3 linked regions of the Rattus norvegicus genome follow. Each later gene encodes a partner of the first gene's protein in a complex. Links are inferred from orthologs where the notes say so. Each region holds a gene or a part of one and is shown on either strand. Other genes may lie near its edges. The genes, in order: Map2k1, Ksr1 and Ksr2.

The links.
Region 2: the proteins of Map2k1 (region 1) and Ksr1 are in contact, whole or in part, in a crystal structure (PDB 9AXH), measured with the Homo sapiens proteins. The link is inferred for Rattus norvegicus from reciprocal best matches to the Homo sapiens genes MAP2K1 and KSR1. Residues at the interface, in NP_002746.1 of Homo sapiens: Asp217, Ala220, Asn221, Ser222, Phe223, Val224, Gly225, Thr226, Arg227, Ser228, Met230, Arg234, Leu235, Gln236, Gly237, Met308, Ala309, Ile310, Phe311, Leu314, Asp315, Val318, Asn319; in XP_011523731.1 of Homo sapiens: Asn767, Gln768, Leu769, Lys770, Leu771, Ser772, His773, Leu776, Val784, Arg785, Met787, Thr788, Pro789, Asn823, Gln824, Ala825, Ala826, Glu827, Ala828, Ser829, Ile830, Trp831, Gln832, Gly834, Ser835.
Region 3: the proteins of Map2k1 (region 1) and Ksr2 are in contact, whole or in part, in a crystal structure (PDB 7UMB), measured with the Homo sapiens proteins. The link is inferred for Rattus norvegicus from reciprocal best matches to the Homo sapiens genes MAP2K1 and KSR2. Residues at the interface, in NP_002746.1 of Homo sapiens: Val81, Glu102, Met219, Ala220, Asn221, Ser222, Phe223, Val224, Gly225, Thr226, Arg227, Ser228, Met230, Arg234, Leu235, Gln236, Gly237, Met308, Ala309, Ile310, Phe311, Glu312, Leu314, Asp315, Val318, Asn319; in NP_775869.4 of Homo sapiens: Lys674, Arg818, Asp820, Lys821, Leu822, Arg823, Ile824, Gln825, Asn826, Ile837, Arg838, Gln839, Leu840, Ser841, Pro842, Gln877, Pro878, Ala879, Glu880, Ala881, Ile883, Trp884, Gln885, Gly887, Thr888, Met890.

What each region holds. Positions count from the first base shown.
Region 1 is NC_086026.1:73,587,574-73,591,193, reverse strand, and holds part of Map2k1 (dual specificity mitogen-activated protein kinase kinase 1), read left to right. Parts: intron 1-2,932; coding exon 2,933-3,057; intron 3,058-3,620. UniProt on the Homo sapiens protein: Dual specificity protein kinase which acts as an essential component of the MAP kinase signal transduction pathway.
Region 2 is NC_086028.1:64,491,583-64,495,202, reverse strand, and holds part of Ksr1 (kinase suppressor of Ras 1), read left to right. Parts: intron 1-1,930; coding exon 1,931-2,078; intron 2,079-3,440; coding exon 3,441-3,620.
Region 3 is NC_086030.1:44,845,683-44,849,931, reverse strand, and holds the start of Ksr2 (kinase suppressor of Ras 2), read left to right. Parts: upstream 1-1,376; 5' UTR 1,377-1,822; coding exon 1,823-2,002; intron 2,003-4,249. UniProt on the Homo sapiens protein: Location-regulated scaffold connecting MEK to RAF. Has very low protein kinase activity and can phosphorylate MAP2K1 at several Ser and Thr residues with very low efficiency (in vitro).

The sequences.
Region 1 (3,620 bases):
CTCTCAAGCCCTGAAGGGTAACGCTTCTCCTCTGCAGCCCCAGGAATCTCTGCAAATGGGTGGGTCTAGGAGGCTGAAGCTAGAGTTCAGATCCATATAAGAGAGAGCAGGGTTATGTAAGCTTGAGTGCAGATGCCTGCTTGCCATGTGAATAGAAATCAGATGCAAAGCAGCTAGAGGCAGCTCAGCCTCAGAGAGCAGCAGCTGCAGCCTGGAGGGAGAGAAGCAGCCGTGCCAGAGAATGCAGCCATCATGGAGGGGATGCTCTGGGCTGAGGTCACAGCAACTACCTCTGGGGATGGTGTGTGTGTGTGTGTGTGTGTGTGTGTGTGTGTGTAGTATATATGTAGGTGAGGGCTACACTCTGATGTGAGCTGCCCTGGTCAGAGAAGCCAGGACTTGCTAAAAAGTACATAGAGCATAGGTGGTAGGGTTCCAGCTAGTGCTCCTCTCTTGCTTCAGGTCATACCTGAAAGGCCATGGGAAACATTTGGGATGGGTGAGGGGCAATGGGGAGAAGGCTCATGTTAGGGAGCCTGTACCAGCCCTACAGGCACATCACACCCTTGGCTCTTCCTAAGTTGCTCCCATATCCTGAACATGTGACCTCCAAGGTCTGTTCTGCACACTGTAGGGCAAGGACAAGGGCCTCTTTCTTGTAAGCTGCTGTTAGAGAAAGAGTAGCTGGCCCCTCGCCACCTACCTAGTGTTAAAGTCGTTCTCCAATGGAGAACCGTGCAGGTGTGCCCTTACACTTCTGCATAGTGTTTTTTTTTTTACCCTGCTCTTATCTGACTGGGTACCAAAGACTACCTGGTGTTACACACTCACTCATTGGCTGATTTATCTCCTGACACCAGTAGGTGTTAGTATCATGTGCACTGGATGTTACGGGAACTTGGCAGAATGCCGGTGCCCTTTCCATGGTATTGCAGGGTACCTGTGTGAGGCAGGTGCTCAGTAACCAGTAGGCTTAGACTGCTGAGGAGTGTGGTTGTAGGATGCTAGATAGAGGGCAGTTTTTGCCCTGTGGCCTTGAATAAGCCCTGGACCCTTACTTAGCTCTGTTTTGGAAGTGAATTTGAATCTTACTCATTTAAGATTTCTCCCAGTGCCTGAATGATCTTGGAGGGTCTCTGTGGGAGGTGGAGTTGTAGAGAGGTTTCTAGCTCCATAGAAATGCTAGGCCTGGATCCAACTCCAGTGCTTGGGAGTGATAGTGAGGCTGGGTTTCAGAATGGTCACACTATGTGCTGAGTGTAGATGTGTTCAATCATCGGGGTTTGTGTTCCTCAGGGTTCACCAAGGTAAGACAGACTCTGAGGGCTCTTCTTGCCTTGCTGGAGCTGGTGTGAAGATAAGGGTAGGGAAGGGATAACTGGAGTATTGTAGGGCTGTCACAGCCCCTCTACCCCCAATTTACCCTTGGGAAGATCTTTAGAATCTGTTTAAGAATAAGCAAGTTAAACCAGGCAGTGCTAATGCATGCCCTTAATCCCAGCACTTGGTAGGTAGAATCAGGTGGATCTCTGAGTTTGAGGCCAGCCTGGTCTACAGAGTGAGTTCCGGACAGAACTATAAAGTAATTTTGAAAACTGTCTCAAAAATCTTCTTTTCTTTTCTTTTTTTCGGAGCTGGGGATCGAACCCAGGGCCTTGCCACTGAGCTAAATCCCCAGCCCCAAGTTATTTATTCTTTTTAAAAGTTTTTTGAGGGTTGGGGATTTAGCTTAGTGGTAGAGCGCTTACCTAGGAAGCGCAAGGCCCTGGGTTCGGTCCCCAGCTCCAAAAAAAAAGAACCAAAAAAAAAAAAAAAGAATAAATAACTTTAGCTGGGTTTGGTGACACCTGTGATCTTAGTACTGGAAGCTGAGGAAGTAGGATCTTACAGCCTTCCGTTCCTTTTTAATCCTATCAGAAGTTACCCTGTGTCTTGCTAGTAGGGGTACCTGAAGTAACAGCTTTGAATTCTCCTCCTCCTCCTCCTCCTCCTCCTCCTCCTCCTCCTCCTCCTCCTCCTCCTCCTCCTCCTCCTCTTCCTCCTCCCTCTCATTCCCACTCCTCCTCCTCCCCCTTCCCACTCCCACTCCTCCTCCTCTTCTTCCTCCTCCTTTTCCTCTTCCTCCTCCCCCTTCCCCTCTCACTCCCACTCCTCCTCCTCCTCCTCCTCCCCTTCCCCCTCTCACTCCCACTCCTCCTCCTCCTCCTCTTCTTCCTCCTCCTCCTCCTCCTCCTTCCCCCTCTCACTCCCACTCCTCCTCCTCCCCCTTCCCACTCCCACTCCTCCTCCTCCTCCTCCCCCTTCCCCCTCTCACTCCCACTCCTCCTCCTCCTCTCCCTCCTTCTCCTCCTCCCCTTCCCCCTCTCACTCCCACTCCTCCTCTTCCTCTTCTTCCTCCTCCTCCCCCTTCCCCCTCCCACTCCCACTCCTCCTCCTCCCCTTCCCCCTCCCACTCCCACTCCTCCTCCTCCCCCTTCCCCTTCCCACTCCTCCTCTTCTTCTTCCTCTTCCTCTTCCTCCCCCTTCCCCCTCCCACTCCCACTCCTCTTCCTCCTCTTCCTCCTCTTCCTCCTACTCCTTTTTCTGCTTCTTTTTGTGTGTAGAGACTGGGTTTCTCTGTGTATCCCTGGGAACTAGCTCTGTAGACCAGGCTAGCCTTGAACTCAAAGGTCTACCTGCCTTTGCCTCCCAAGAGCCAATGTGCCCTGCTCCAGACTTTGGCATTTTGACTGGTGATGATAGCTGACTCCTTTTGATGAGTCATATGGCCAGGTCTGAGTCCTAAGAGAGTAGACATCATTATCTACTTCCTTTGGAGTTTACAGGTCACAGATCACCTGTGATGGCGCATGTGGTGTGATCTAGACAGCACTGATCCTTCCCCTCCACAAACCACTCTGTGCTGTCATTTCTTGTTTTTTCTTCTTCACAGATGTCAAGCCTTCCAACATTCTAGTGAACTCACGTGGGGAGATCAAACTCTGCGATTTTGGGGTCAGCGGGCAGCTAATTGACTCCATGGCCAACTCCTTCGTGGGAACAAGGTCCTACATGTCGGTATGAACTGAAGTTCCCTTTCTCCAGTGTTTCTGCAGGCTTCATTATTAGCACCCCCATATTATGAACCTGGAGCCATACATTTTCACTGTGGTGATGGATAAGGATTGAGAAATGAGTCACAGTGGGCCTCTGGGGAAGAGCAAGTGTCTTCCTTTCACAAGTGTTTACATGTAATTGAGGTCTCAGGCACTGCAAGAGATCTAGCTCCAGAGTCTGGCTTCCATTCTAAAGAGACTTGAGAATGCACCTGACATCTTATCTGATTGCCAGACCCTTAAACCCAAGAGACTTGGACATGACCACACCCCACCTGGCTACTGCCAGTTCTTTTATCCTCTAGTGGACCTACTTAGAAAATAGGTTTGAAATCCTTTCCTCCATTCTGCCTCTCTCCACCTTCTTTATGAATGTGTCTGGATCATTTCCCTGCCTGGCATCCAGCTCCTGCTTAGAGTCTACTCTAGCTCAGCCAGCATCCTGTCTTGGTAGTCTTTTCTCCAGAGCCCAACTCTCCTGAGTCCCACTGTCACCTGATTACTGCAGGCAGCTGTCCCATTGCC
Region 2 (3,620 bases), on another chromosome or scaffold:
GATAGCTCAGTGGTTAAAGGTACTGGCTGCTTTTCCAGAGGACGCAGGTTCAATCCTCAGCACCCACATGGCAGCTCAGTGTTCTAGAACTCTGGTTCCAGGAGATCCAGCGCCCTCTTCTGGCTCCTGCAGGCACTGCTCATACATAGTAAACAGACACAAAAGGCAGAATACCATACACATAAAACAAAAATTAGGATTAAAAAGAAATCTCTTCTAAGGTCAGGCATGGTGGCTCATGCCTTTAATCTCAGCACTTGAGAGTCAGAGGCAGGTAGATCTTTGTGAGTTCAAGGCCAGCCTGGTCTGCATGGTAAGACCCTATCTCTCCATCCAAACAACACAAAAGTCTTTAAAAAAAAAAAAGATTTATTATGTATACAGCATTCTGCCTGCAGACACCAGAATAAGGCACCAGATCTCATTACGGATGGTTGTGACCCACCATGTGGTTGCTGGGAATTGAACTCAAGACCTTTAGAAGAGTAGACAGTGTCCTTAACCTCTGAGCCATCTCTCCAGCCCCTAACACAAAAGTCTTAAAAGTCTTCCCTAGCTACTTTCCCCTTTACCCCCTGAGGAGATCACATGTGTACGTGTATCTCTGTGTGCACGTAGAAATTAAAGGACCATGCTGTCCTGCAATCTTAGGGGATCCAAGAATGAAACTCACGTTGTCATGTTTGTCCTCGAATTACCCTGCCTGCTAAGCCATGCTGCTGACCCAAAGCTACTCCTACCTGCTAAGCCATGTTGCTGGCCCAATCGTAGATTTTTATTATTATTATTGATGTGTGTATGTTTACAGTGCGTGCACATGTGCACACCACAGTGCATATGTACAGGGACAGAGGACATCATTGTGGAATCAAGCTCTCTCCTACCTTTTTCTGGGTTCTGGAGATTGAACTCAGGTCCCCAGGTTTGTTCTGGGTTCTGGGGATTGAACTCAGGTCTTCAGGTTTGCAGGCAAACTCCATCTTAATGCCCACCCCCACCTCCTGCAAAACACTTTGTCCGGCCGTGTAGCCCTTTGAGCTTCATTCTCCAGATGTAATATGATCCCAGTGGCCTGCAAGTTCTCTACCACTGAGCTACACATCCAGCCCTGCTTCCCTAGCTCCCACCCCCTTTTTAGACAGTCTTATGTAACCTAAGCTGGCCCCAGACTTACTGTGTAGGCAAGGATGACCTTGAACTTGCCATCCTCCTGCCTCTACTTCCCAAGAGCCACCGTGCCTGGTTTAGGCAGTGCTAGATCCTAGGGCTTTGTGCATCCTGGGCACACTGTGCCAGCCTGGCCTACAGCCTCAGCCTTCCCTTTTCATTATGGGACAAGGTCTCACTAAGTCACCTTAGCCGGCCTTGACTTCGCTTTCTAACCCAGGCAGGCTTTGAACTTAGGATCCTCCTGCTTCCACCTCCCAAGTAGATGATATAAGCAGGTCAGTCTAGCTGGCCTACATTGACTGGCTTACAAACAAGTCAGTAACTGGTGTTGTTGTTTTTGTTGTTGTTGTTGTTGTCCTTGTTAACAACAATTAAGCTTGAGATGTCTCTTGTGTGGTTCAGATACAGTCATGTCCAGAAGAGCTTCCAAAGGTGTCAAAACTCCTAGCTTTCCTGTACCAAAAAATTTTAAAATATAAATAAATAAACAGACTGTGAGGCCCCATCCAGGCCTTTCTGGACTTTTCTTCTTCCCCTTATCTCTGACCCGAAGGTGGCACTCCACTTCAGCTGCTGTTTCTGCCATACTGACGGTGGGGGTGAGTGCTCTGCCCCTGACAAGTGGTGGCTTCTAGTCAGAGGCTGTCCGAGACAGCAGCTGGCTCCTGCCACTCAGCTGGGAGGCCTGTCCTTCGGAGCGGAGGGCTGAGACTCCCTCACTGCTCCCTCAGCTTTCTTCCTGTCCCTTCTGTACCCCCAGGAGATCCCCCAAGAGCTCACACTGGATGCCCTGCTGGAGATGGACGAGGCCAAAGCCAAGGAGATGCTGCGGCGATGGGGGGCCAGCGCTGAGGAGTGCAGCCGTCTACAGCAAGCCCTCACCTGCCTTCGGAAGGTGACTGGTCTGGGTAAGGAATGCCTGCTCTCCCCCAGGACTCTACTTCTGCCTGTGCTCCCAGGCCTGGCCAGTTCCTTTGGGAGATGGGACTTTGCCAAAGCCGGCCTTGGGATAGCTAGGTTGTGCTTCAGGGTTTGGGGTTAGATTTGGTGCGGCTGTTTGGAAAGTATGCTGGGCCTTGGCTCCTAGGAAGCCTTCTCAGAGTCCCCAGGGCCTTGGAGTCTATTGGTCTAGCTAGTCGGACCTAAAAAGCCTCCGCCATTGTTAGGAATCCCAGTCTGCTTTCAGTTCAGGTCCTGTATGCCACGCCTCCGACACATACTGGAAGGCGTCTGTGTTGCTCCAGCCCCTGCCACCGGCTTCCTGCATTCCATCTCCCGTCCTCATGAGCAGTTTCAGCTCTGCTCACAAAGCCTCTTGGTATCAGTGTGGCCCGAGCCCAGCATAGTTAGAGAAAACGTGCTGCTTCTTATAGGGCTATCCCGGGCTGTGTATAATCCTGCCATTACCGCAGTCTCCCCTGGGATTACTCATAGGCCCTTTATGTCTTCCCTTGGAAACAGTTGGCTTAATGTTCCGACTACCACCCAGAGAGGGCACTGATGTGAGCCTCGCTTAAAAGAGCTGCTGCTTCATCTCCAGCCTCCTGGGGCTGAAAGGGGGGCACCCAGCTTTACACTCGTCTCTTTTATAAGACAGGGTCCCTGTGTCGTGCTGATTGACCTGGAACTCCCTGTCTAGACCTGGCTGGCCTCAAACTCAGAGATCCTCCTGCCTCTGTGTGCTACCATGCCCAGCTAATTAATTTTATCCCCCAAAGGGTAGAGCCTACGTTCTTTATTCATAGCGTCTGAGTATCTGTGGTTCTAGGTGTGTCTGGGGTCCACCGTGCCAAGGCACAGCCCTAGGGAAGAGAATTTCCACAGCTTCCTTTCTCGTCACTCGGCCATGCAGCTCCTGTGTCCCTGTGACAGGTTGTGGGCTTCCTGTCATCCCACATGACTTCTTCACTGGCCACCAGGGTTGAGAGCAGTCAGAGCATCTTGCTTGCACTCCAGCAGGGCCTGGTGAGAGCCAGGATGAGCTGAGGAGTCAGCTTCCCTTGACCTCCCAGTACCTCAGTTCCTCGTCTGTACAATAAGACTGCCCCTCTGACAGGGTTGTTGTAATGGAGAAGTAAACTAGGGGTCACTAAAGGTCAGGTGTGCTTCTCAATATCAGGCCATAGAAGGTGCTGTTGGGGGGAGAAAGTGAATCTGGGAGCAGAGCCTGCTGCTGAGTAATGCTGTTATCTCCATCAAGGTGTCGTGCTTTCCCATAGTAGTGGCACCCCTGAGTCCTTTGTATTTCTGACTGACTACTTGGCCCACAGGAGGGGAGCACAAAGAGGACTCTGGTTGGAGTTCAGCAGAAGCACGAGAAAGTAGCTCTGGGCCTTCAGTGGACATGCTCTCCTCGCTGGGCAGAGCGGGTGCCAGCACTCAGGGACCCCGTTCCATCTCTGTGTCTGCCCTGCCTGCCTCAGACTCTCCAGTCCCCGGCCTCAGCGAGG
Region 3 (4,249 bases), on another chromosome or scaffold:
ATCCACCTGCCTCTGCCTCCCTAGTGCTAGGATTAAAGGCGTGAGCCATCCCATTCGGCTAAGAAGAAAGCCTGTGTCTTTTATTAATTTATAGAAATGGCTCAGTGAGTACGGACAGCTCAGTTCAATTCCTGGAGCCCAGGGTGGAAGGAGAGAATTGTCTTCACTAACTGGGCGCTAACTTCGCCCACACGCTGTGCTGCACGTGAATCCCCCACCCCATTAATTAATAAAAAGCGTATCTATATCAGAGGCACTCGGTACAACTTTATTAACTACATAGTGAAATTTTAAAATTTCATATATGATTCCCCTTTCTTGTCACAAAGTATCCTCCCCAATCCTCAACTTCTTTAAAATGTACTGGCCGTTCTTTACTCTGGTACCGTAGGTGACTGACAAAGGTCAGGGTCGGTAGTTGAAGTTAGATTCCACAAGCCCTTGTGGGAGCAAGGCAAAGCCTCTGTCATCCTGCGAATGGACCTCAGCTAGATCAGGCCCAAGTAGTTGTCGTCCCCACCCGTCCCAATTCTGGGAAAGCCATCAAGGTTGGTTTCCCGCACCCTCCAGCCCACCAAAGCCACAAGAAGCCACCCGCAAAGCCAGGAACGGTGCACAGAGTACAGCGAGGCGAGCGCGCACCTGCTCCCGGGTCCCCGCGCACCTGCTGAGTCGCGCTCGGGCCTCGTCTCGCGAGATCCGGGCTGGCGTAGTGGCCCCCACCCCCACCCAGGCCACCGAGTACCTCTCCCCGCCCCCGGGCCGGGCCTCCCCGCTACCTCCGGGACCAGACCGGCCCCCCTCCCAGCCCCCACAGCATCGTAGCGGCTGCGCTCCGCACGCAAGCCCCTCAGCCCCAAGGGACCCCCGCCTCCCCGGCTGGAGGGTGGCCCGGCGGGCAGGTGCACGAGCCGCCTGCCGCCAGCGGGTCCCAGGCGCGCCCAGGGTGGGGGAGACCCGGGCACCGGCTGCGCGCACGGCGCCTCTCCGCGCTGCATCCCTCGCTCCGCTTCCCACCCCGCCCTGTGATTGACAGGCAAGATGTCGGTGTGGAGCGAGGCAGGAGCAATTGCAGCAGCCGTCCCCCCTGGAGCCCGGTGGCGGCAACAGCAGCAGCAGCAGCAGCAGCAGCAGCAGCAGCATTGTCGCGGGGAGCAGACCGCAGCCAGCCGCAGTGGGCACCGCAGCCGCGCCAGCCTTGCGCACAGCATCCCGAGAGCGCGCTGAGCGCGGGGACCCGCGGACCATGCCGTGTCACCGCGACCGGGAGGGGGGCAGGCGCGCTCCTTTTTGACATAAAAGCCAGCCGACCAAATAGATTTATATACATATAATTCCGCCCTTCACGGAGCCGGTGTGCGAAGCGTGAGCTCTATTTCCCTCTTCCTCCTCCTTCCACTTCTCCTCCTCCCCTTCCTCCTCCTCGCCCTCCTCCTCTTTCTCCTCCCCCTCTCTAAGTGTACAGACTGCACCCTACCACCTGGTTGGCTTCTGACAAACGGGCATCTCTCCCTTTTTAGGGACCAGGGACACAGAGAAAGAGAGAGGAGAGAGACAAGGGACATTCTAATGCAGACTGCCTGATACTCTACCCCCGCCCCAAATAATAATAAATTTTGGCTCTTGTCCCCTCCTCCAACCCCCACCCCCTCAAGCTTGTGTGAGATGTTGGGTTTCTTCAGGAGACACTGCTGAGAAGTCGCAGAGGTTGGGGAGGCGTAGGGGGGGTGGACTCCCTCTACCTCCACTCCTTCCCTCCCCCTTTTTTCTTTCTGGGAGGAGGTGGAGGAGGAGGAGGGGAAGGGGGGTTGCAGAGCAAGCTATGGATGAGGAGAACATGACGAAAAGCGAAGACCAGCAACCTCTGAGTTTGCAAAAAGCCTTGCAGCAGTGCGAGCTGGTTCAAAACATGATCGACCTGAGCATCTCCAATCTAGAAGGGCTTAGGACGAAGTGTGCAGCTTCCAACGACCTCACGCAGAAGGAGATCAGGACCCTGGAGGTAGGTGTTGCCTGCGGTGGGGGGTGGGGGCAAGCCTTCCATCCCTTCCCCTTTTCCAGTCTGTCCCCTTCCCTTTGGGGTTCTGTGTGCTGACGGAGGGCCCGGGGAGGGGAGAGGGTAACGCAGGTGGGCACGAATGATGCGCTATGATTTATCACCTGGCAAAGCCAGCGCCGATGTCTCTTCGCTTCCCAGTGTGGCTGCTGTCTGTGCTCGGCCGGGTGGTGGTGGGTAGCAGTAATAATTGGTGTGCCGTATTGTTGCCATGATTATTCTTTTCTTGTGGGAGGAGGGAGTTATTGTTATTGTTGTTATTATATATTCTCTCTCTCTCTCTCCTCTCTCTCTCTCTCTCTCTCTCTCTCTCTCTCTCTCTCTCTCTCTCTCTCTCTCTCTCTCTGGGATTTGTTTATATGCCACGGGGGCTTGAGCGCTGGGTGCTATGTTAAGGAGCTGCAGGAAACCCACGTGACCTTGTGTGTTCTGCAGGTGGTCAAAGGTGGTTTTGACTGGTTAGATGGGGCTGCCAGAATGGATTCAACCTTTTGCTCTGTGTCTCATCCCCCACCTCACCTCCCCCAACCTACGCTTAGAAAAAATCCCCAAGGAAGTACCTATTTCTAAAACAATCATTTGATGTAAAGGGGGGGGGTTCTCTTTGCAGGCCCAAAATGTGTAAAAAGAAACAATGTTACAGTTGCCTGGAGTGGTTCTTGCACTAGGTGGCGTGGGGAAAATGCTCTTGGGCTGTCTTGGTGAGACTTGGCGGATAGGGGTCCAGGAGAAGGAGTTACATTTGGCTCCTTGTAGCATCCTCTCTCTCTCTCAGACAGAACTTGAGGGGAGTCGGGAGCAGTTCACTGAGAGACTGTGATAGGGATGCTACAAAGTTACCACAAAGAAATGGAAGGAGCTATTTTCCTTCAAAGGCCATCTTTTTTGCCCCCAGAGGATGCTTTCAGGGTTTTGTGAACGGCCTGATGTACTGAAATCCTCCCGCACCTACCTCGTTCAAAATGTCAGACCGATTCAGCCCCTTCACCTTCCTTCCCTCGAAGGTCCAGCTGTCCACATTGCTTGATTTAATTTGGGAATTCCCACTAGCTGGCCTTTGCCAGAAAGTGGTGACTGTGGAGCTCAGAGCAAAGGAGGGTTCCCATTGGCATGGCCGTGCATCATGGAGCTGGATGGTTCAGTTGGCCTCTGGCTTGACTTGTGAGTTCCTGAGCCTGAAGTCTTTCTTCAGTCTTGGCTGACCAGGTCATCTGCATGAACACACCTCTTGGATGTATTCATTTGTCAGGCCTTTTTTTTCTCCTCGATGATTTTAAGTTTGGCCCTCCTGGTGTCTGTATGCAGGAGACTATGGTTTGGAAAGAGGAGTTTGTGTGCGTGGATATTTAAATACGGTGCTTACTGCCCTTGGATATATGTCTGTGCTCACCTGTCAAGTGGGAACATGAACCCCAGGGATGAAATAAGATAAATGTTAAAGTGGGATGTGCGTTGGGAGGCCTAGGCATTGCCTTTCTTAGGGGGTGGGGGAGAGAGAGAGAGAGAGAGAGAGAGAGAGAGAGAGAGAGAGAGGAGTAGGAGTGTTTGACTAGCGGTTGCTGCTGGAAGAAAAGGGTTGGCTAAGGTTTGCTGCTGGAAGTTTCGGGCTGTGGTTAGCCCAGCCCCTATCTCTGCTGCACAGGACCCAGAACAGACTCGGTTCAGAACTATACTTGGGAAAGTTTACACAGATAACCCCTGAGAGCCACCACTCCCACCATGTCTCTTCTACACCCTGTCACCAAAAACTAGGCTGACTTTTACAGACTAAGTTGCCCAGAGTTTCCTTCTGTTTCTTTCTGTGGTGTCCCATCCTCTGTTCACTGACTCCCTGGAGAGCAGTGATTGACACAGCCCGGGGCACTCTGTGGCTGGGGATGGAGCTCAGTGGTAGAGCACATTTGAAATGTGCACGAGGACCTGGGTTCAATTCCAGCACTGTGCAAATACACAAACAAGCAATGGGCAGCTGGTTCTAATTTATCTATGCAAGGTGTCTTTTTTTTTTAAAGATTTATTTATTTCATGTATGTGAGTACACTGTCGTTGTCCTCAGACACACCAGAAGAGGGCATCAAATCCCATCACAGATGGTTGTGAGCCACCATGTGGTTGCTGGGAGTTGAACTCACAACCTCTGGAAGAGCAGTCAGTGCTCTTAACCACTGAGCCATCTCTCCAGCCCATGCAAGG